2 linked regions of the Anolis sagrei genome follow. The protein of the gene in region 1 binds, or shares a complex with, the protein of each later gene. Links are inferred from orthologs where the notes say so. Each region holds a gene or a part of one and is shown on either strand. Other genes may lie near its edges.

What was found.
Region 2: the proteins of LIN9 (region 1) and LIN37 are in contact, whole or in part, in a crystal structure (PDB 7N40), measured with the Homo sapiens proteins. The link is inferred for Anolis sagrei from reciprocal best matches to the Homo sapiens genes LIN9 and LIN37. Residues at the interface, in NP_001353174.1 of Homo sapiens: Lys99, Ala101, Ser102, Gln103, Lys104, Ile105, Gly106, Arg108, Leu109, Arg110, Leu112, Leu113, Lys114, His119, Trp121, Cys122, Ile123, Glu125, Trp126, Phe127, Thr227, Leu237, Phe238, Leu272, Ser273, Asn274; in NP_061977.1 of Homo sapiens: Tyr95, Ile97, Leu99, Phe100, Asp101, Arg102, Val104, Leu106, Ala107, Phe109, Ser110, Glu111, Asn112, Thr113, Pro114, Leu115, Tyr116, Ile118, Cys119, Arg120, Trp122, Met123, Asn125.

Annotation. Positions count from the first base shown.
Region 1 is NC_090021.1:39,810,461-39,821,271, reverse strand, and holds the start of LIN9 (protein lin-9 homolog), read left to right. Parts: upstream 1-5,455; 5' UTR 5,456-5,488; coding exon 5,489-5,567; intron 5,568-10,811. Other genes in the region: PARP1 (poly [ADP-ribose] polymerase 1), read left to right, coding at 265-346. UniProt on the Homo sapiens protein: Acts as a tumor suppressor. Inhibits DNA synthesis. Its ability to inhibit oncogenic transformation is mediated through its association with RB1. Plays a role in the expression of genes required for the G1/S transition.
Region 2 is NC_090034.1:88,074,717-88,086,178, reverse strand, and holds the start of LIN37 (protein lin-37 homolog), read left to right. Parts: upstream 1-6,958; 5' UTR 6,959-7,169; intron 7,170-11,462.

The sequences.
Region 1 (10,811 bases):
CTTATACTCAAATCAAAGTTATTACATTTATTACTTTACTCTATTTAATATGATTATGATTATTATGACATTTACTATTATTATTACATTTATTATTTTATTCTCTTTATTATTAGTGGAAGGATATGTAAGAATATTTAGAGGTTCAGGTTGGCTATTTTCCCCCCTATTGCTACTGTAAGAATTGAAAGCAGTCACGTGTGACTAATGTTTTGTTTTGGTGAAATTTGTTTTACAAGGTCTAGCCTTAACTTGTTGTTTCAGATATATCGTCTATGATGTCGCTCAGGTAAATCTGAAGTACTTGCTGAAGCTGGATTTCAAATATAAAACTTCCCTCTGGTGAACAAGAATCAAACTTGTTAAAAGAGTTAATGCTATAAAACCTGCTGAAACATCTAAGTATTCCTACCACTGCTGAGATACAAGAACTAAGTTTCAGGGCTATGCTGACCTTAATCACTTTTGTAAGGATTTTTCTTTACTCTCTTGTGGCTACAACACATGAGATTGAATACTATGAGAATTGTGTGCCCCCCCCCCCCCTTCCTCTCTTTGGTCCATACTAGTTTGGGGACTGCTGTGTCTCTTCTAACCATTAAGCAACAGACCAAAATACTACTAAAAACTCTTGGTTATAGCCTTTGCTAAGTGAGGTAGGGGACGAACTTAGAACTGTTTGCAGATACATTGGATTTTCTTCCAAAATCCACACATCTTCCTTAGTTTCTATTATGAATAAATGTTAAACCTGTTTATTTTGAAGCAAAAAATAAAAGCTAATTTCATACTAATTCTTTATCCTTATGCTACAGTAACTAGTGAAGTCCTATGCCCATGGTATGCTGGGTGAATACATCAGGAGTTATGTCTTTGTGTTCTAATTGTGATCCTATTCTCAAACAGCAGCAAGCTCAGCAGTGTAAGAGCTGCTGTGTATATGAAGGCTGATGTGATAATCTTGGGAGACACTTCAGCATCTCTGCAGCTGATGAGTGTCAGTCACATGTGATACCCAAGGAGTCATGTTTATCATAGTGGTAGCCAAGTGGCCAATCACCTTATCCAAAACCAAGGCTTCTCCCACAACCGAAAAAAACTGTAAACACCTTCCTTTCATCAGTCAGTATTTGCAGAACACTAGGTCAAGATATAGGTTTCCCCTGACATTAAGTCTGGTCATGTCTGACTCTGGGGGGTGGTGCTCATCTCCATTTCTAAGCCGAAGAGTTGGCGTTATCCATAGACACCTTCAAGGTCATATGTCCGGCATGACTGCATGGAGCGCAGTTACCTTCCTGCAGAAGCAGTACCTATTGATCTACTTATATTTGTATGTTTTCAAACTGCTAGGTTGACAGAAGCTGGGCCTAACAGTATGAACTCATCCCGCACCCCGGTGGAGCAGTGGGTTAAACCCCTGTGCCGGCATGACTGAAGACCGACAGGTCGCAGGTTCGAATCCGGGGAGAGGAGGATGAGTTCCCTCTATCAGCTCCAGCTGCTCATGCGGGGACATGAGAGAAGCCTCCCACAAGGATGATAAAAACATCAATTCATCCGGGCGTCCCTGGGCAACGTCCTTGCAGACGGCCAATTCTCTCACACCAGGAGTCACTCCTGACAAGACAAAAAAAATAAAAAATCCCGCACCCCGATTCAAACTGCCAACCTTTTGGTCAGCAAGTTCAGCAGCGCAGCGGTTTAACACACTGTGCCACCAGAGGGCTTGCAGAACACTAATCTGACCATATATCCACAGAAGCTGTTACAGTGTTTTGGGATCTTTGTAATCCTGCCATGTCCATGGAAAACAAATGCCCAGTGTGTGCAGCTGATGTACACAAAAAAGCCACAGCCTTTGCCTTCCCATTAATTTAATCCCAGTGTCAGTCTAGCACAGAAAAGGGATAGAGAAAGGGACAATAATGTATGAACCGCAAAATGCGAAGTGATAGCCTCTAGTGACTGGCCTGTAGCTCAGTAAGCTGGCACAAGTACTAAATGGCTCTTGTTTCTCCCAGCTTCCTCCAACAACAGACACATAACACCACCATGCAGGAGGCACAGACATCTTTATTAGGATGACCCCATTGTCTACCAGTTACTGTGTCAGGACACCTTACAACCCAGACATGGGCAAATGTCGGACCTCCAGGTGTTCTGTTAGGAATTGTGAGAGTTGAAGTCCAAAACACCTAGAGGTCCACAGTTTGCTCATCTGTTATAACCAGTATGGTTTCCTAGTCATCTGATACATTTGTAGTGCTTGCTGGATTTATTTTCACAATGGCAGTTAACTGAAGAAGGGCCAACTGATGAACAATTATGTACTTTTCTTCTTCGTGTCACCCTGCATTCCCCTCTCCTGGGTTATGTCCAGTTAAATAGGATCACAATGGGGAACACACTCTGGACATAGGCATGTCATTTGCTAAAGGTTGATGTAGCAACGTACATATTAACAATCGTTTATTTGTATGTGAGAAGCATTTCTTCTCACCATGCACAGCTTACTCATTCAGTATTATCAGTAGAAAATCAGTCTAACCCAGGCCTCAGCAAACTTCAGCCCTCCAGGTGGTTTGGACTTCAACTCCCACAATTCCTAGCAGAGGGAATTGAAGTCCAAAACACCTGGAGGGCCGAAGTTTACCCAAGCCTGATTTAACTATTCTGTGTGTTCTACTTGCTGCTATTACTTAAGCTGAAAAAAGAAAACAATACCGGTTATCCCAGAACCACCATCTACGTGGAGCAAAACGCCTTCAGAGCAGAAGCAGTTTAATCTGATAAAACAGGGTGCAGTCTACAGAAGTTAACCCAAACTTCTCTTTTGAGAGCCAGTATGGTGAAGCGGTTTGTCATTGCATTATGGCCCTGGAGACCAAGGATCGGCTCCCAATTCAGCTGTGAAGAACCAATGTGTGTGTTTGGGCAAGTCACACTCAGCCTCAAAAGAAGGTAAAGATGACCCTCTCAATAACTTTCCAAGAAAACACCTTGATAGGTTAGGGCAGGCATGAGCAAACTTTGGCCCTCCAGGTTTTTTGGACTTCAACTCCCACAATTCCTAACAGCCAGTAGGAAATCTTATCCGTGCTTTATGAACAGGGAAAGAATGATATGGCTGTTAAGAATTGTATCATCTACAGGTGTAGATGATACCACTGAGAAGCCTTCTAACCAAGGTGAAAGAAGGAAGTGTAAAAGCTGGTTGCAGTTAAACATAAAAAACCAAGATTATGGCAACCAGACTGATTGATAACTGGCAAATGGGAGAAAATGTGGAGGCAGTGACAGACTTTGTATTTCTTGGCGTAAAGATTACTGCAGACTCAGACTGCAGCCAGGAAATCAGAAAACATTTACTTCTTGGAAGGAGAGCAATGACCAATCTCAATAAAATAGTGAAGAGCAGAGGCAACAAAGATCCACCATAGTTAAAGCAATGGTATTTGCCATAGTAACCTATGGATGTGAGAGCTGGACCATAAGGAAGGCTGAGCGAAGGAAGATAGACGTTTTTGAACTGTGGTGTTGGAAATTCTGAGAGTGCCTTGGACCACAAGAAGATCAAACCAGTCCATACTTCAGGAAATAAAGTCTGAATGCTCATGGAGGGAAGGATATTAGAGGCCAAGATGAAGTACTTTGGCCACATAATGAGAAGACAGGAAAGCTTAGAGAAGATGATAATGCTGGGGGAACTGGAAGGAAAAAGGAAGAGGTGCCAACCAAGGGCAAGATAGATTGATGTTATCCTTGAAGTGACTGACTTGACCTTGAAAGAGCTGGGGGTGGCCATGGCCAACAGGGAGTTCTGGCATTGGCTGGTTCATGAGGTCATGAAGAGTCAGAAGGAACTGAATGAATAAACAACAAGTAGAATTGGCAGAGAAGGCTGAAAGCTTTGTAAAACTACAACTAGGTCTGGGGCCCCTCCCATACAGCTGAATAAAATCCCATATCTGCTTTGGACTGTTTATTTATGACATTTATATGCTGCCCTTCTCACCCCGAAGGGGACTCAGAGCGGCTTACTAGTTATATGTACATACAATATATTATATTATTAGCATAGCACAATATTAGTATTATATATTACTATAATGTACTAGACCACTATACTGGAATAATATTATTAGTAATCTTACATGTAATATGAAATTTACAATTATATTGCAATATTATTATAATATTAACACAGCACAAAATTAGTATTATATATTACTATATTGTATTATACAACTATACTGTAATATTTTCAATATTATATGTGTATATAATATTACTATAGCACAATATTAATATTATATATTACTATATTGTACTACACAACTATACTGTAATATTAGTAATATTACATGTAATATGAAATATAAAATTATTATATTGTGTTATTACTAGCGTTATATTGTATTACATTATAATATCAATATATGTGTATACAATATATTGTATTATTAGCACAGAACATTAGTATTATATTGTACTATACTGCTACACTGTAATGTTATTATTATTAATAATATTACATGTAATATGAAACAAATTATATTGTATTATTAGTTGAATTACTTTGAATTAGTTGAAGTACTTCGGCCACATCATGAGAAGACAGCAAAGCCTAGAGAAGACAATGGTGCTGGGGAAAGTGGAAGGTAAAAGGAAGAGGGGCCGACCAAGGGCAAGATGGATGGATGGATGGCATCCTTGAAGTGACTGGACTGACCTTGAAGGAGCTGGGGGTGGTGACGGCCGACAGGGAGCTCTGGCGTGGGCTGGTCCATGAGGTCACGAAGAGTCGGAGACGACTGAACGAATGAACAACAATTAGTATATTGTATTACATTATAATATCAATATTGTATGTGTATACAATATACATATATATATTAGCACAGCACAATATTAGTATTATATATTACCATATTGTATTATAACACTAAACTGTAATATTAGTAATATTACATGTAATATGAAATAAATTATATTGTATTAGTATTATATTGTATTACATTATAATATTAATATTGTATGTGTATACAATATATTATATTATTAGCACAGCACAATATTAGTATTATATAATACTATATTGTACTATACCAATATACCAGTGTGGACCCAGTTCAAAGCAGATAGTGTTGGATTTTTCAGCCTTGATATTCTGGGTTTTATGGCTGTGTGGAAGGGCCCTGGGAAAAGTGAGGCGCAGGCTGTTGTGAGCCTGGAAAGTGGCTTCCTCCTCGCGCTCGGGCTGCAGCATGAGAGAAGGCAGGCGGTGATGTCCTGGCAGCAGGCTGTGCTGCTGCTGCTGCTCTTGAGGCTCGCGCCTCCGCCCCTGGCCAGAGTTCAGCCGAGTCCAGGAGCCGATCCCGAGTGACGTCAGCGCGCGCGGCCCCGCCCCGTGCGTCCCGCGCGCCTCCCCCTCCTCCCTCCCTCCAGTCAGGCCGCGCCGGAGGACGCCGTCTCCTCCCCCACAATGCACCGCGGCAGGCAGCCTTTGAAAAAGCGGCGCGGCTCCTTCAAGATGGCGGAGTTGGATCAGCTGCCTGACGAGAGTGAGTAGACAGCCACCCGGGTGCCCCGCGCTTGGCCCCGCCGGCGGACTCCCCGGCTCGGCCGCGCTCTCTCTCTTTGCAGAGGCCTTCCCTCCCTCCGCTCGCCCCCTTCCCGGGACGGAGGCCGCGGCGACGCTGGCGATGCCGGCAGGGCTGCTGTGGGTCCTGCTGAGGCGGCTCCGTCTCCTTCCTTGGGCGCCCAGCTTGGGCCCTTCTTCCTCGGAGGGCCGCTCTTAGATAATCCCCGCTTCTCGCTTTCGAGGGGAGCCGCGCCCTGAACCCCGGGCGGAGAGGGCAAAGCAGGGCGGCACTGACATCCAGTCCCTTCGGCCTTGGTCCTGAAGTGCTGGGTGCAGCACCGCCAAGCCAACCCACACCGAGGAGGGATCCCTCTCCGCCTAATTTGGGCGCTTGACGTGTCACTGCCGCCCTTCACCTCAGAGGCAGGGAGCCCTTTGCTTCCCAGAGCCGCGCTTCCCTTCGGAGGAGGGCGAGGGCGACAAAGGGCAGGCCCCGACTTCTGCCCTCTTGTGTGAATCCAGAAATGTTGACACCAGGCGAGCGCACGACCAAGGAGAGCGCCCTGTTTGTTTTCCTGAATGTGTCGAAAGGTGTGAGAAGGGCAGGCCTGCTTCCTGATCGTTGGCTCAAGACCAGAGGTGTGTTGCATTGAGTCAACAGCCCTTAACAGATTAGGGAGCTGGCCCAGAACTGATACAACGAATTCCAACAGGGAGAGATCTGTGGTGCTACATTTAAGTCAGTGGTTCTCAACCTGTGGGTCCCCAGATGTTTTGGACTTCAACTCCCAGATATGTTAACACAGGGGTCCTCAAACTAAGGCCCAGGGGCCGGATGCGGCCCTCCAAGGTCATTTACCCGACCCTCGCTCAGGGTCAACCTAAGTCTGAAACAACTTGAAAGCACATAACAACAACAACAACAATCCTATCTCATCAGCCAAAAGCAGGCCCACACTTCCCATTGAAATACTAATAAGTTTATATTTGTTAAGATTGTTCTTCATTTTAATTATTGTATTGTTTTTAAGTGTTTTTTTGCACTACAAATAAGATATGTGCAGTGTGCAAATGAATTCATTCATGTTTTTTCAAATTATAATCTGGCCCTCCAACAGTTTGAGGGACTGTGACCTGGCCCTCTGTTTAAAAAGTTTGGGGACCCCTGTCTTAACAGCTGGTAAACTGGCTGGGATTTCTGGGAGTTGTAGGCCAAAACACCAGGGGTGACACAGGTTGGGAACCACTGATTTAAGTTATTAGAAGGCTATCCAGCCTACCCTGATTTAGGACTGACTGCATTCCCTCATCTCTCTTCGAAAAACCCTATCCCAGTTATATCCTACCTTGTTCATGCCCAGCATTATTTTTTAAATTTTAAATTATTACTGTTACTGTTATTGTTTATTGTTTATTTTTCGTTTATGTGATTTATATTAATTGTTTTATATTGATTGTTTTTGTTATTACGTTTGTTTACTGATGTACTGTGGGCTTGGCCTCATGTAAGCCGCACCGAGTCCCTTGGGGAGATGGTAGCGGGGTATAAATAAAGTTATTATTATTATTATTATTATTACCCTCCCCATAGCAGCACATGGTGGGGAGCTGCTTGCAGGTGGTGGGTGCTGGATGCATCTACAGTGCAGGATTGATTCAGTTCGACTCGGCTTTAACTGCTTCCCCAAATTCCCATAACACCGACCTATATGTTTAACTATTTAATGGGGTCTGTTCATTGTTATGTCCATGAGGCATTGAATTTTGCCGAAGTTTGTAAACCGCCTTGAGTTCCCTGCGGGGTGAGAAAGGCTGGGTAAAAATGAAGCAAATAAATAAGCAGAATGAGATGCACGGGTATAAAACGGGTGACAACTGACTTGAAAACAGTACATGTGAAAAGAATCCAACTGCTTTGAGTCTCCTTGTGGAGAGAAAAAGTAGGGTATAAATAATAATAATCAAGGAGTACTAGTAGAGCATAAGATGATCATCAGTGATGCAGCAGCAAAGAAAGCGAATGCTGCATCCATCGGCTGTTAGGAATTTTGGGAGTTGAAGTCCAAAACACCCGGGGGCCCAAAGTTTGCCCATGCCTGGTCTAATGTCTAGATCAGAGCTTTCCAAAATATTTCATGCTGGTGACATACTTTTTAGACATGCATCATTTTGTGACACATAATTAAATTTTACTAGCAAACCGGAAGTTAAACCAACCCTTTATAAGAGATACAGACACATACATAAATTGTAATAATAAAATGTATGGGGATACAACATATGTAATTAAAACCTATGTTTTGAAAATATACAATTTATTCCTTATTTCACATAGACTCAGAGATTTCTCCTTACTTCCACATGACACATCTACACAGTGCAGCTGACCTAATATATTGCGACACACAATTTGGAAAGCTGTGGTCTAGATTGAGGGAAGTCATAATTCCTTCCATTCCGTGTTGGTGAGACCTTACCTGTGATATTGTGTCCCGTTCTGGGCACCACAACACAAGGATATTCACATGTCCAGAGAAGGGCACCAAGTTCTGTGAGGGACAGCTTAGGGAAAGGATGGCTGAGAGGTGACATTTTAGCCATGTTTAAATATTTGAAAGGATGTCACATTGAGGAAAGGACAAGCTTGTTTTTTGCTGTTCTGGAGACTACATCATGGAGCAATGGATTCCAATTGCAGGAAAAGAGATCCCACCTAAACGTTAGGAAGGATTTCTTGATGGCTAGATCTGTTTAGCAATGCAAAATACTGTCTTGGAGTGCAGTAGAGTGGGGATTTTAAAGCAGAGGTTGGATGGCTGTCTGTTGGGAATGTTTTGATTGTGTGTTCTTGCATGGCAGGGGTTGGACTGGTTGCCCCTTGGGGTCTCTTCCAGCTTTGATTCTTCCTGTGCTAGAGAGAAGAGATTGGGGCACTTATATTTTGAGCAATGGCTCACATGTGGGCTGATTGTGTAATTAGACACTTTGGTAAAGCAAAAACGAGACTGTTTACATTTATGATGCATTTCCACTTAATCTATAGAATATTTCTTCTCTGTGACCTTTCTCAGAAATTATTGTAGATATGTCAACATATTTTTTGAAAATACATTCATGAAATAAAACATGCAAGACTTCCTGATATGAACAATATACAATCATAACAGGACAGGAAATAGGACAACAGGAAGAAACTTGTACAGGTTGTCACATTCAGTCCTAAATTTGTATAATCCTCTGTATGATATGTATATTAAGTATAAGGCATCAACAATTCAGAGAAAACTGACTTGGAGTTAGTGAAATTACACTATGTCCAAATGCCTCAGAAGTCCATCCAGCTGACCTGTTGCAGGGTTTATCTGCACCCATGAAAAAAATCTGTTTGATCATTTGGCCAGACTGATGCAATCTGATGGGACTTGTAGTCTACAACATCTGAAGAGCATCTGATTGAAAAAGTCTTGAAGCAGCAGAGAGCTTGGTCTCTTAAATAGTAGATTAAGTGAAGTGTACAACTGCTGAAGTGTATATTTAAGTGAAGATTAACTGCCCATAGAAAACTTTCTATCTGGGATGAGAATTCTTGTCAAGGTTACTGTAAGTAGGATTTATGAAGTGTTTTCTTGTGTTACACATTTATTTATTTATTATTTAGTATATTTACATACCGTCTTTCTCAGTCCTGGGGGGACTCAAGGCGGTCTACAACATATTAATGGCAAGAATTCAATGCCAACATAATAATAAAATAAAATCACAAGAAATAAACACTGACATATAACTATAATTTAAAACCTTAAAACCATTAAACATAGGCATATACAACATGTAATCACTAAAACATCCTAATATAAATATTGAAATCACATGATCCAAAAAATCATCCATTGTGGCCATTCCCATTGTCATAGCACGTATTTCCTGATTATTCTTTGCATTGCATTACTGGCCAAAATCTGATCCCATAACCACGTCTTTGTTTTCTTTCTGAAGGCCAGTCTATCAATCCATGCTCAGTTTTAATACTTCATCCCCTGGCTATGAAGGTTTTTCAGAGTTGTTTCTGAGCAATGTTATGATCCCAATGAACCCTTTTACCAGAAAATGTAACCTATAATATACACATTCAGCACAAAGCTCTAACCAATAGTGATCTACAACGTTATCATAGCAGGGCTTTAAAGTGGGCAGCCCTGCATTTCTGCCACCTGCAGAATTCTGAGAAATGTAGTTTAGGGCAGGGCCTCTTGAATTCTCAGCTACAGAGGTTCTTGCCTTCCCAAACTACATTTCCCAGAATTCCGCATGCAGCAGAAATGCAGGGTTGCCCGTTTTAAAGTCCTAGTGTGATAGAGTAGTTAGCCTGAGTTCACATTTCTACAGTAGCCCTTAAATCAGGGGTGTCAAATTCATTTCCATTGAGAACCATATCAGCCTTATGGTTGCCTTCAATCCATAGACAGAGAATCCTTGAATACAGAGGGCCAGCTATATATATTTCACACAGTAGTCAGTGCTCTAATTTGTATTCACTTTGCGTCCCTAGAATGATAATTCCTATCACTTTTAACTATCTGCCACACAGACTGGGGATAATGGGAACTGCAACCCAACTCCCATCAGTTCTAATCATGCTGTTTAATGATGAGAAACACAGGAGTTGTAGTCCAGCATCTGGAAGGCCACATAAAATGACATGGTGGGCTGAATTTGGTCCGAGGGCCATGCGTTTGATACATGTGCCTTAGAAGTTTGCTACAATTCTAAAAATTCATACTGTAATTTTTATATCTGACAATCCTATTGAAGTCAATGGAACATCTAAATAAAAAAAACATAAGATTTGTTAAGGGTTTTCTGAGATTTTGTGACAGATGTGCTTTTCAGTAATAGTTTGATTACTGCTGCATTGAATGAAAAGTGGTTCTCAGATCATTCTTGTCCAAATTTATTCCATAAAGATTCATGTTTGAAATGTTTTATATGAATATCCGGGCCAGGCTATAGGTTCCTGTTTATCAAACCTGTGGCTAACAAAAGTGAAATATATAAAACACATGAAAAATAAGCATACCTTATGTCAGGGGTCCTCAAACTAAGGCCCGGGGGCCGGATACGGCCCTCCAAGGTCATTTACTCGGCCCTCACTCAAGGCCAACCTAAGTCTAAAATGACTTGAAAGCACACAACCACAATAACAACAACAATCCTATCTCATCAG
Region 2 (11,462 bases), on another chromosome or scaffold:
ATGGTTAGGTTATTGTCATGTCTTAACCTGAGGCAGGGTTGCCGACTGACTATAAAAAAAGGTTGCTGGGCCTGTTTTTCACTCACAAATACAAGAAAATGTGTTCAGAACATCAACATACAACCACAATTGCCTAGTGATATTTGCATATCATACTACTGTTAGTGGTACAAGAAATTATTAATAGTGTAGACAGTATTAACGCTGTCTCTTCAACAACAACAGAAGTAAATCTCTCTCTCTTTCCCAATTGAAGTTTCTCTCAGTGCACTGTACCTACAATGGCAGTCTAAGAGGGTAAATCCATCCTTTCAGGGTTTGAGTATACAATACTTAACAGCAAAATACTGAAGTAATTCCACCCTCCCATATTTTTTCAATTGAGTTTACTCTCAACGAAATACATATTGGATAGCAGATGAAAGTACACTTAGGCTGTTGGAGTTTTTTATATTATAAGCTTTAACCTAGATAAAGATAAGCTGGTGAACTGTGGGCCACACAGTACTACTGTTTGGTGGATTAGTAATTGCTTCACCGACTGGACCTGATGGTTGCTCCATCCTGGAAAGAAGTGACTAGTTAGAATGCCTCAGGGTTCTGTCCTAAGTTTGGAGTTGCTTAACATCTTTATAAATCACTAGCGTATAACCGGCATCGACTGCGTATACATTTTCTTTGTGGTTCTTTCTTTCCTTCCTCTGTTTCCCTCATACATCTTCTCCCTCTTGCTTTTCTTCCTTTCCTTCCTTCTTTCCTTGCTTTCTCTCATACACATTTCCCCTCATCTATCTTTCCTTTCTCCTCCTTCTTTCTTCTCTCTCTTCCTTTGTCCCTTCTTTCTTCCCTTTCTTCCCCTCATACCATTTCCTTTCCCCCCCCCCTTTTTATTTCTTTTTTCCTCTTTGTCCCCTTTTCTTCCCTTTCTTTAATAATAATAATAATAATAATACATCTTTATTTATACCCCACCACCATCTCCCATAGTGATTCGGGGAAGCTTACATAATAGCACAAAAAGGTGTCATACATTACATAAAATAAAATACATCAACATGTGAAATCAATAACACATTACATAAATCAGATGTATAAATTAAGTAAAAAAAACCCATCTATTAAATAAATTCAATAAAATATGGCCATAACTGTTGATTAAAAGATACATAAATCAATGTAGCAGCCCAGCTGAAGGCCCATACAGTGTGGATATAAAGTGCTAAGTAATTAGCAGTCAGTTCTGGCAACTGTCTAAACATTATCAAAAGCCTGCTGAAAAGAAAGAAGTTTTTAGCTCTTTCCAAAAGTGCTGTAATGTGTCTAAGTTCCCTGGGGAGGGTGTTCCAGAGCCAGGGGACTACCACGGAGAAGGTCCTCTCTCTCGCCCCCACCAACCACACTTGAGATGGAGGTAGGACCGAGAGGAGGGCCTCCCCGGCAGATTTTAGAGCCTGTGCCGCTTCATAGGGGGAGATGCGGTCATGAAGATAGCCTGGACCTGAACAGTGTAGGGCTTTATAGGTAATAATCTGCACTGTGAATTGGGACTGGAAACTTACAGGCAGCTAGTGGAGCTGCTTCAGTAGGGGTATGGCATGCTCCCTATAGCTAGCTCCAGTTAGTAACCTGGCTACCGATCTTTGCACCAACTGCAATTTCCAAGCTGTCTTCAAAGACAGCCCCACGTAGAGTGCATTACAGTAATCCATTCTAGAAGTAACTAAGGCATGGACAGCAATGGCCAAGTCAGGCTTCTCGAAGTACAGTCGCTGCTGGTGCACAAGTTTTAACTGTGCAAAGGCCCTCCAGGCCATCGCCAACACCAGGAGGAGCCCCTGACTGTGGAACCTGTGTCCTCAGGGGGAATGTAACCCCGTTTCTAATATTTGTAATTTCTTTATGTTTGTGGGTAAACAGTATTTCTTGTTGTTTTTTGTCAGTGTTGATTTACATTGTCTGGTTTGCCTACTCTGGAACATGCAACATATAATTGTTCTTCTTTAGGGATCCCTTTCAAACCAATGAAACTATATCTGTCATATATATGTGTGTGTTTGAATAATATATATCTGTATCTATGGCTGGATAGCTCTTTGTCAGGAGGACTTTGATTATTTTTTCTTACCATGGTGAAGGGAGTTGGACTGGATGGCCTTAAGGCAGCATTTCTCAACCTGAGGTTCAGGACCACTGGGGGGGGGGGTCGTGAGGGGGTGTCAGAAGGGTCACCAAAGTCCACCAGAAAGCACAGTATTTTCTGTTGGTCATGGGGGTTCTATGTGGGAAGTTTGGCCCAATTCTATCGTTAGTGGGGTTCAGAATGCTTTTTGATTGTAGGTGAACTGTAAATCCCAGTAACTACAACTCCCAAATGTCAAGGTCTATTTCCCCCAAACTCCAAATCTGGCGGCAATTCGTCCAGCGGATTTTGAGTTATGATGTCACTCAAAACAAACAAAGCATTTATATACATACTTACTTAGGTGATCCCTCATTGTCCGAGTAGGATAGTCTTCCAAGATCAGTGTAGTGGTGGTGGGTCCGCAGGTGACTGTGGAGCCCTATTCTTGATATGCATCTTCTCCCGCAGTGAGGGCATTGGTTTCCAGGTGGAAGGCGGTCTTGGTCAGTGTTGGTTTGATGTGTCTTCCTCTTGGCACATTTCTCCCTTTTTTCCCTCCATTCGTGCCTCTTCAAATTCTACAGCACTGCTGGTCACAGCTGACCTCCAGCTGGGGCTCTCAAGGGCCAGGGCTTCCCAGTTCTTAATGTCTATGCCAGAGTTTTAAAAGTTGGCTTTGAGCCCATCTTTAAATTTCTTTTCCTGCCCACCAACATGACAGATATAGTATCATAGATTTGAAAGAAACCCCTAAAGAAGGACAATTATACAGGGTGAGGCAGCAGAACTTCCTTTTTTTAAATGGGCGCCATTCAGTCAGTTGAAGACGTAGCAGAGCGCTAGTGGTCTCGTTCGAGGGGTGGGAGTATAAAGTTTTGTCCATGCACAGTTCCGTCGCCATTATGCATTGGAACAGTGAGGAGCGTGCTTTTGCCATTGAGGCCTACTTTTCAAGCAGATTTGGAGTGGCCGGCCTGCTCTCCAGATTTAGCCCCTTGTGATTTTTTTCTATGGGTTTTTTTGAAATCCCGTGTTTATGTGAACCGTCTAAGGACCTTACAAGATTTGAAGACCAACATCCAGGAAGAAATTGCCAACATAACGCCTGTTATGCTGGCAAGTCATAACAAACGCCAGAAATCGGTTTACTCAGTGTATGGAGAATGGGGGACGACACCTACCTAATTTGATCTTCAAAACTATGTAAAATAAATCTTTAGGTATGCGCCTACATTACAAAAAAAATTAAAAATTTCTGATTCATACAATAATGGGTTTTATTAAGTTTTGAAAAAAGGAAGTTATGCTGCCTCACCCTGTATATTGTATATTCCAGAGCAGCCAAACCAGACAATCTCTACATCAACATTGATAAAGAAACAATAAGAAATACCGTTTACCCACAAGCATCAAGAAACTACATATATTAGAAACCAACACTTTCTCGTTACTTTATTTTCCAGATCACCAGACTGGGCCACAGTAACGCATGGCAGGGGACGGCTAATATATATATAATCAGCAGAGTTTAAAAAGTATTCCTTTTAGTTTTCCAAAAACGTCTACTCTCCCTTAAAATATATTTGCCAGGTTGTGCTATTAAGCTTTCATGATGCTTAAGGCAGGTTAGTAAGGTTGGCTATTAAGGTTGGTAGTTTAAAGTTGTTGTTTTTTTTTTTTTTTGGAACCACCTATTACAAATCATCCTCTGGAAACGGTACACGTGGTCCCTGAAAGGCGTACATTTGGAACAAATTAATTGCTACAAATATCTAGACATTATGTTCTCTTCATCTGGTGCTTGTGCTAACCATATTACTCATAGTATACAAAGAGCAACAAAAGCAGCAGGTTCCATTTATAAGCTGTACCATCATAGATACCCAGTCACAATCAGACCTGCCCTGGAAGTCTTTAAAACAAAAATAATGCCAACACTTATATTTGGGGCTGAAATTTGGGGGCAAATCAATTTGGCCAAGATCGAAGCCTTCCAAGTTAAGCAGCTTCACACCTTCCTGGGCCTTTCCAGAACAACGCTGATGGCGGCAGTAAGGGCTGAGCTAGGAATACTCCCAGTAAAAGCTCAAATCTTAATGAGACAGTTTAATTACTGGTCAAAATAAACTCTATGGATCCCAGTAGACTTCCTTGTCTATGTCTAGAAGATCAAGTCCAGCATGACCAGAAGTCATCATAGATGGCGGCTCTGAATAATGAGTTGGCTGGATTCGGTCTGCCTTTGCAATTTCTGGGTGTTTTGGGTCCCGGAGCAGGGCAAGTGCTCAAGCGGCGCATTCGGGACGTCTATGCACAGCTGGACCTAGAGAGCATAGGTAGGTCTTCAGCCACAAGGTGTTTAGCTTCCCACAAAAGGAATATTCATTTAGAGCACTACCTAACTATTCCACTTCCACTACCCTTAAGAAGAATATATACTAGGGCTAGGTTTGAACAACTTGGTATTATGGTGCAAACCGGGCACTACTGTACATCCCAAGAAGAGAGAGATTCTGTGTATGGGGAGAACAAACAGTGGAAGACATTGAACATTTCTTAATTGACTGTCCAGCATATACTGAACTGTGAGACAGATATTTACATCCAGTATTATCCAACTGCAGGTCCCCCAACAGAAATGATATTCTGACATCCCTCTTGCGAGGGCAGGAAAGATCCAGCATAATCAGAGTAAGCCTTTTTATTCTGAAAGCTATTAAGAAAAGAGCAGATTTCCTGAAAGAAGAACCAGGAAAATAAGATTCTGACTATAAATGGAAGGTCAGCTGCTGTCCTCACCTTTTTGCCTTGTTTTTTACTCATGTTCCATTTTGAAATGGTCATATGACTGATCAAATAAATAAATAAATATATTATTATTATTATTATAAATCATCCTCTGGTTTAAAAAAATCCATGTTCTGTAAGTGGAAGACAACTCCTGTAATTCCTGGCTTTGAGTATGCTTGCTGTAGTTTTATTAGATGCAACCTAAACAGAGAGTCCAAATTCCCAAACTCTAGTCCTCCAGGTAATTTGGACTCAACTACCAGTGGCTCTGGCTTGGATTCTTGTTATTTTATGATGTTTTATACTTACTATCGATGTATTTGGATTGTTGTTTACATTATTTTAATATGTTGTCAGCTGCTTTGGCTTCCGTGAGGGAGAAAGATGAGATATAAATATTTATTATTATTATTTATTCTGGGAGCTGAAGTAAAAAAATAATAATTGGAAGACACAACGAGGACATGAAGTTGTTTACTTCCAAGAACAGAATTAAACTAGCGGTCCCCTGCCACGCGTTGCTGTGGCCCAGTCTGGTGATCTGGAAAATAAAGTAATGAGAAAGTGTTGGTTTCTAATGTATGCAATGCCTTTTTGCTTGTGAGTAAACAGTATTTCTTGCTGTTTCTTTGCCAGTGATGATGTAGAGATTGTCTGGTTTGCTTCCTCTGGAACATGCAACATATCATTGTCCTTCTTTAGGGGTCCCTTTCAAATCTTTGATACTGTATCTGTCATATACGTATATGTATGTGTGTGAATGGCTGGATTGCCCTTTGTCAGGAGGGCTTTATGTTTTCTTGCCCTGGTGAAGGGAGTTGGACTGGGTGGCCTTAAGGCAGCATTTCTCAACCTGAGAAGTCAAGACCCGGGGGGGGGGGTCACCAGGGGGGTGTCAGAAGGGTCACCAAAGACCACCAGAAAACATAGTATTTTCTGTTGGTCATGGGGGTTCTGTGTGGGATGTTTGGCCCAATTCTATCGTTGGTGGGGTTCAGAATGCTCCTTTATTGTAGGTGAACTATAAATCCCACTTACTACAACTCCCAAATGCCAAGGTCTATTTTCCCCAAACTCCATCTGTGTTCACATTTGGGCATATTGAGCATTCCTGTCAAATTTGGTCCAGATCCATCCTTGTTTGAGTCCACAGTGTTCTCTGGATATAGGTGAACTACAATTCCAAAACTTAAGGTCAATGCTCACCAAACTCTTCTAGTGTTTTCTGTTGGTCATGGGAGAGCTGTGTGCCAAGTTTGGTTCAATTCCATTGTTGGTGGAGTTCCGAATGCTCTTTGATTATAGGTGAACTATAAAACCCAGAAACTACAACTCCCAAATGACAAAATCATAATTTTTTGAGTGATGGTCACTCCTTGTGTTGTGAGACTCTTTGTTGCCAAATTTGGTGTGATTTTGTTCATTGGTTCTTTTGTTTTTAAGGTACGCATTATGCACAGACCATTTTTATATAGAGAGATACTATTCACACATCTATGGGATCTACTGAATTCTATATCTTTCTCCCATGTATAAATAAAATGGTTTGCTTTTAGAGAGAGAGAGAGAGAGATTGGAACAGAAGACAATGACATGCTTACCAAATTTGACAGTATTTCAGACAAGAACATCGATTCCTCTTCCTGGAAGAGCTGCTTGACAGTCACAGACACTGCCTCAAAGAATGGAATCCTCTTCAAGGGGCTCCGGGAAAGCTCCACACAACCCACTTCCCAACGAGGCCTACCTCTACCCTTCAAGCCTTTCCCGCTCTCCTCAAAACAAACTTACCGCCCGATGGTCACTTAGCAACCGAAACAGGAAGCCACCCCAAAGCATGCCGGGTAAACCATCCCCCTAGCGTCAACTCCGGTAGTGTACTACCTTTCCCAAGACGCTTTGCGACCAACACAACCTGAAATTCATCCTGAGGTAGAGGCACGTGAGCAAGCCAAATCCCAGGCGCATGCGCAAACCAAATCCAGTTGGAAACACAGCGACTGAAGCCCTCCACAGGCCGCAACTTCCGGGCAACCTCCACTTCCGGCTCTTCCAACATGGCTGCGCTGCCACTTCCGCTCCTTTGCTTAGGCCTACAGTTCCCGGCATGCAGCGCTCCAGAGGCGGTTTTTCTGCTTCGTGCAAACGTCCGAAGGGAGAAAAAGGAAGTGTCGAGAGTAGGGAAGGCAGTCACTCGAGACCCGTTGCAGGCAGCGCCTCGGCAGCCTTTCCCTGAGAGCCCAAAGGGCCTCGAAACGTAAGTAGAGGCAGGGTGTACCTGCAGTGTAGACTTAACCCGGGTTGACACCGCTTTAATTGCCATGGCTCAATGCTAGAGGATCCTGGGAGTTGCATTTTTACACATTCTTTAGTCTTTTCTACCCAAAGTGCTGATGTCTCACCGAACGACAATGAATCTTGTATTTTTTTACATTTGTAGCAGGATATTTTGAGCTGTATAAGATTTGAATAGGGAACAATAATAGTTGCACTCACTGACTCATTCCTGTGGGAGAAGATATTTAGTCAGAAGATAACTGAGTAGAATGTTTCCTTTATATGGCTTAGTTAAAAAGTGAAGAGCTGATGTAATGTATATATATATACAGGCTGTTCATGTCAGCTGTCACGGACTGGATGAGGGACAACAGATTGAAACTGAATCCAGACAAGACAGAGGTACTCCTGGTCAGTCGAAAGGCCGAACAGGGTACGGGGTTACAGCCTGTGCTGGACGAGGTCACACTCCCCCTAAAAGCACAGGTACGCAGCCTGGGAGCTCTCCTGGATTCATTGCTGAACCTGGAACCCCAGCTTTCAGCGGTGGTCAGGCGAGTATTCGCACAATTAAAACTTGTGCGCCAGCTGCGTCCGTACCTTGGGAAGGCTGACTTGGCCACGGTAGTACACACTTTGGTTACATCCCGCTTAGATTACTGCAACACTCTCTACGTGGGGTTGCCTCTGAAGACTGCCCGGAAGCTGCAGCAAGTACAACGCGCGGCAGCCAGATTACTAACGGGGGCTGGGTACAGGGAGCACACCACTCCGCTGTTACTCAAACTCCACTGGCTGCCAATTAGCTTCCGAGCACAATTCAAAGTGCTGGTGTTAACCTATAAAGCCCTAAACGACTCCGGCCCTGTTTACCTCTCCGAACGTATTCTCCCCTACGAACCATCAAAACCACTAAGATCGTCTGGAGGGGCCCTGCTCTCGGTCCCACCACCTGCACAAGCACGGCTGGTGGGGACGAGGGACAGGGCCTTTTCGATGGTGGCCCCTCGACTTTGGAACTCCTTACCATTAGAGATCAGAACTGCCCCCTCCCTCATGACGTTCAGGAAACTAACAAAGACCTGGTTGTGGAACGCGGCATTTGACAACTGATTTAATTCTTTGCCCACATGAAAGGAGGATGATGAATGGGATTGTGATGGTGTTGGACGATTTGGCTCTTTTAACTGTGATGATAATGTTTTAATGTGTATGGTGCTGATATTTTAATCGTGTAATGAAGTGGCATTGTGTTGTTATTGTATATTCTTTGTATGTTAACACATGTTGTGAACTGGTCCGAATCCCTCTTTGAAGGTGAGAGGGTCGGTATATAAAACCTTGAAATAAATAATAATAAATAAATATATATAAAAATGGTCTGTGCATAATGAGTTCCACACAGCCCTATATCCCATAATATCTGCTTTGAACTGGGGACCCTTCCACACAGCTGAATAAAATCATACATTATCTGCTTTGACCTGGAATATATGGCAGTGTGGACTCAAATAACCCAGTTCAAAGCAGATAGTATGGGATTTTTTTGCCTTGATATTCTGGGTTCCACCTTGTCTCCTGTGCTATGCTAATAATGTAATGTAATGTGCCGGCAGGACTGAAAACCAACAGATCACAGCTTCGAATCCAGGGAGAGGCGGGTGAGCTCCCTCTATCAGCTCCAGCTCCTCATGCGGGGACATGAGAGAAGGATGATAAAAACATCAAATCATCTTGGCGTGCCCTGGGCAACGTCCTTGCAGATGGCCAATTCTCTTACACCAGAAGCGACTTGCAGTTTCTCAAGTCGCTCCTGACACGGCAAATGTAATGTAATATATTGTGTATATATATAATATTTATAATATTGGAATTTAATGCAATATAATACTACTACTAATAATAATAATATATTATAATTATATATTTATATTACATGTAGTATTGCTAATAATATTACAATATAATGGTATAGTACAATATAGTAATATTTAAGACTGATATTGTACTAGGCTCATAACATATTGTATGTATATATATATCTTGTAAGCCACTCTGACTCCCCTTCAGGGTGAGTAGGGTGGCATATAAATGTTGTAAATAATACATAAATAAATATACATGAAAGGTTTTCATGAGAACTTCTCTGCCTGGCTGTCTACAATATGTACTAGCTGACCAATTAAAGATACAGGAACGCAGACATACTATAGAAAATTGTGGCTTTCATGGCCAGAATCCCAGAGTTGCTGTGAGTTTTCCAAACTGTCTGGCCATGTTCAAGAAGCATTTTCTCCTGACGTTTCACCCACATCTATGGCAGGCAGCCTCGGAGGTTGTGAGGTCTGTTGGAGACTAGGAAAATAATAATATTTTTTATTTATACCCCACCACCATCTCCCCAATGGGCCCTCGGGGCAGCTTACATGAGGCCAAGCCCAGAAATGCATTACAGCAAAATAAAACCAAAACACAAAATAAACATCACAATAAAATGAAACATAAGAATTCAGTAAAATAATGCAAAATACAGTAATAGATAAATCACAATCACAGTGAGTGGGCCACATGTACAAGGTAACAATTTTACACATTCTTTAGTCTTTTCTACCCAAAATGCTGGTGTTTCACCGAACGACAATAAATCTTGTAATTTTTGACATATATATGAAAAGCTTTCATGAGAACCGTTCTTCCAGGTTGTCTACAATATGTACTAGCTGACCAGTTATTGATACAGGAACGCAGACATACTATAGAAAAGGGAATAATTGTGGCTTTCATGGCCAGAATCACCGAGTTGCTGTGAGTTTTCCAAACTGTCTGGCCATGTTCAAGAAGCATTCTCTCCTGACATTTCACCCACATCTATGGCAGGCATCCTCAGAGGTGTGAGGTCTGTTGGAAACTAGGAAAATGTGGTTTAAATATCTTTGGAAAGACCAGGGTGGGAGAAAGAACTCTTATCTGTTGGAGGCAGGCGTGAATGTTTCAGTTGGCCACTTTGATTAGCATTTAATGACCTTGCAGCCTCAAAGACTGGCTGGTTGCCGCCTGGGAGAATCCTTGGTTAGAAAGTGTTACCTGGCCCTGATTGTTTCTTGTCTTGAATTCTCTTTTTTCTGAGTGTTGCTCTTTATTTACTGTCCTGATTCTAGAATTTTTTAAATAGTAGCCAGATTTTGTTCATTTTCATGGTTTCCTCCTTTCTGTTGAAATTGCCCACGTGCTTGTGGATTTCAATGGATTCTCTGTGTAGTCTTACATGCTGGTTGTTAGAGTGGTCCAGCATTTCTGTGTTCTCAAATAATATGCTATGTCATCAGGTGATTTGCTATGGTTGACTTTTCAGATGGAATTAGTCTGCAGTGCCTCTCATGTTCCTTGGTTCATGTTTGAGCAATGCTGCGTTTGGTGGTTCCTATGTAGACTTGTTCACAGCTGCATGGTATATGGTAGACTCCTGCAGAGGTGAGAGGATCCCTTTTGTCCTTCACTGAATGTAGCGTTTGTTAAATTTTCTTTCTGGTTCTGTAAATAGTTTGTAGGTTGTGTTTCTTCATCAGCTTCCCTATGCAGTCAGTGGTTCCCATGATGTAAGAACTTTTCCTCTTGGTGGATCTTTGTTTTTGCTCTCATGGCTTGTTCTTGGTCTTGCAGTTCTTCTAATGTATGTGATGGAGTACCCATTGGCCTTAGAGAATCTGTGAACCCCACCTCCTCCAAAGTGAACTGAGCCACCTAAACTGGGTTCTACAGGCCAATGGAGGCTCTTCCACAGACATCAGAAGAGCTGCAAGACAAAGAACAAGCAATGAGAGTAAAGACAAAGATCCACCCAGAGGAAACGTGTCTGTGGTAGAGTATCTATTCACCTGTAGAGCCCAGTTTAGATGGTTCAGTTCACCTTGGAACCTTGGAGGAGCTGGAGCTCACAGACACATTTTGCACGGTCTGCCAGGGCTTTGATTGAGCTTTTTTGATTTGGGTGATGGTTGGAATTTTTATGTAGGTATCCTATCTGTTTATGTAGGTTTTCTGTAAGCTGTGTGGCCCAGTTGTTGATTGGGTTTGCAGATGACTATGGCATCTAGAAATGGCGGTTTTCCTTTATTTTCTTTGGAGCCATGGAGAAGAAGAACTCAACAAGATAGTTATTGAAAAACTATAGCAAAATGTGCTGCAGGATGTCCCTCCTGCAAAAACATTTTTTTTTCAGTTTAATGTACTTTTGCCTTGTTTTTATGATAGTACCAATTAGGAAATGACATTT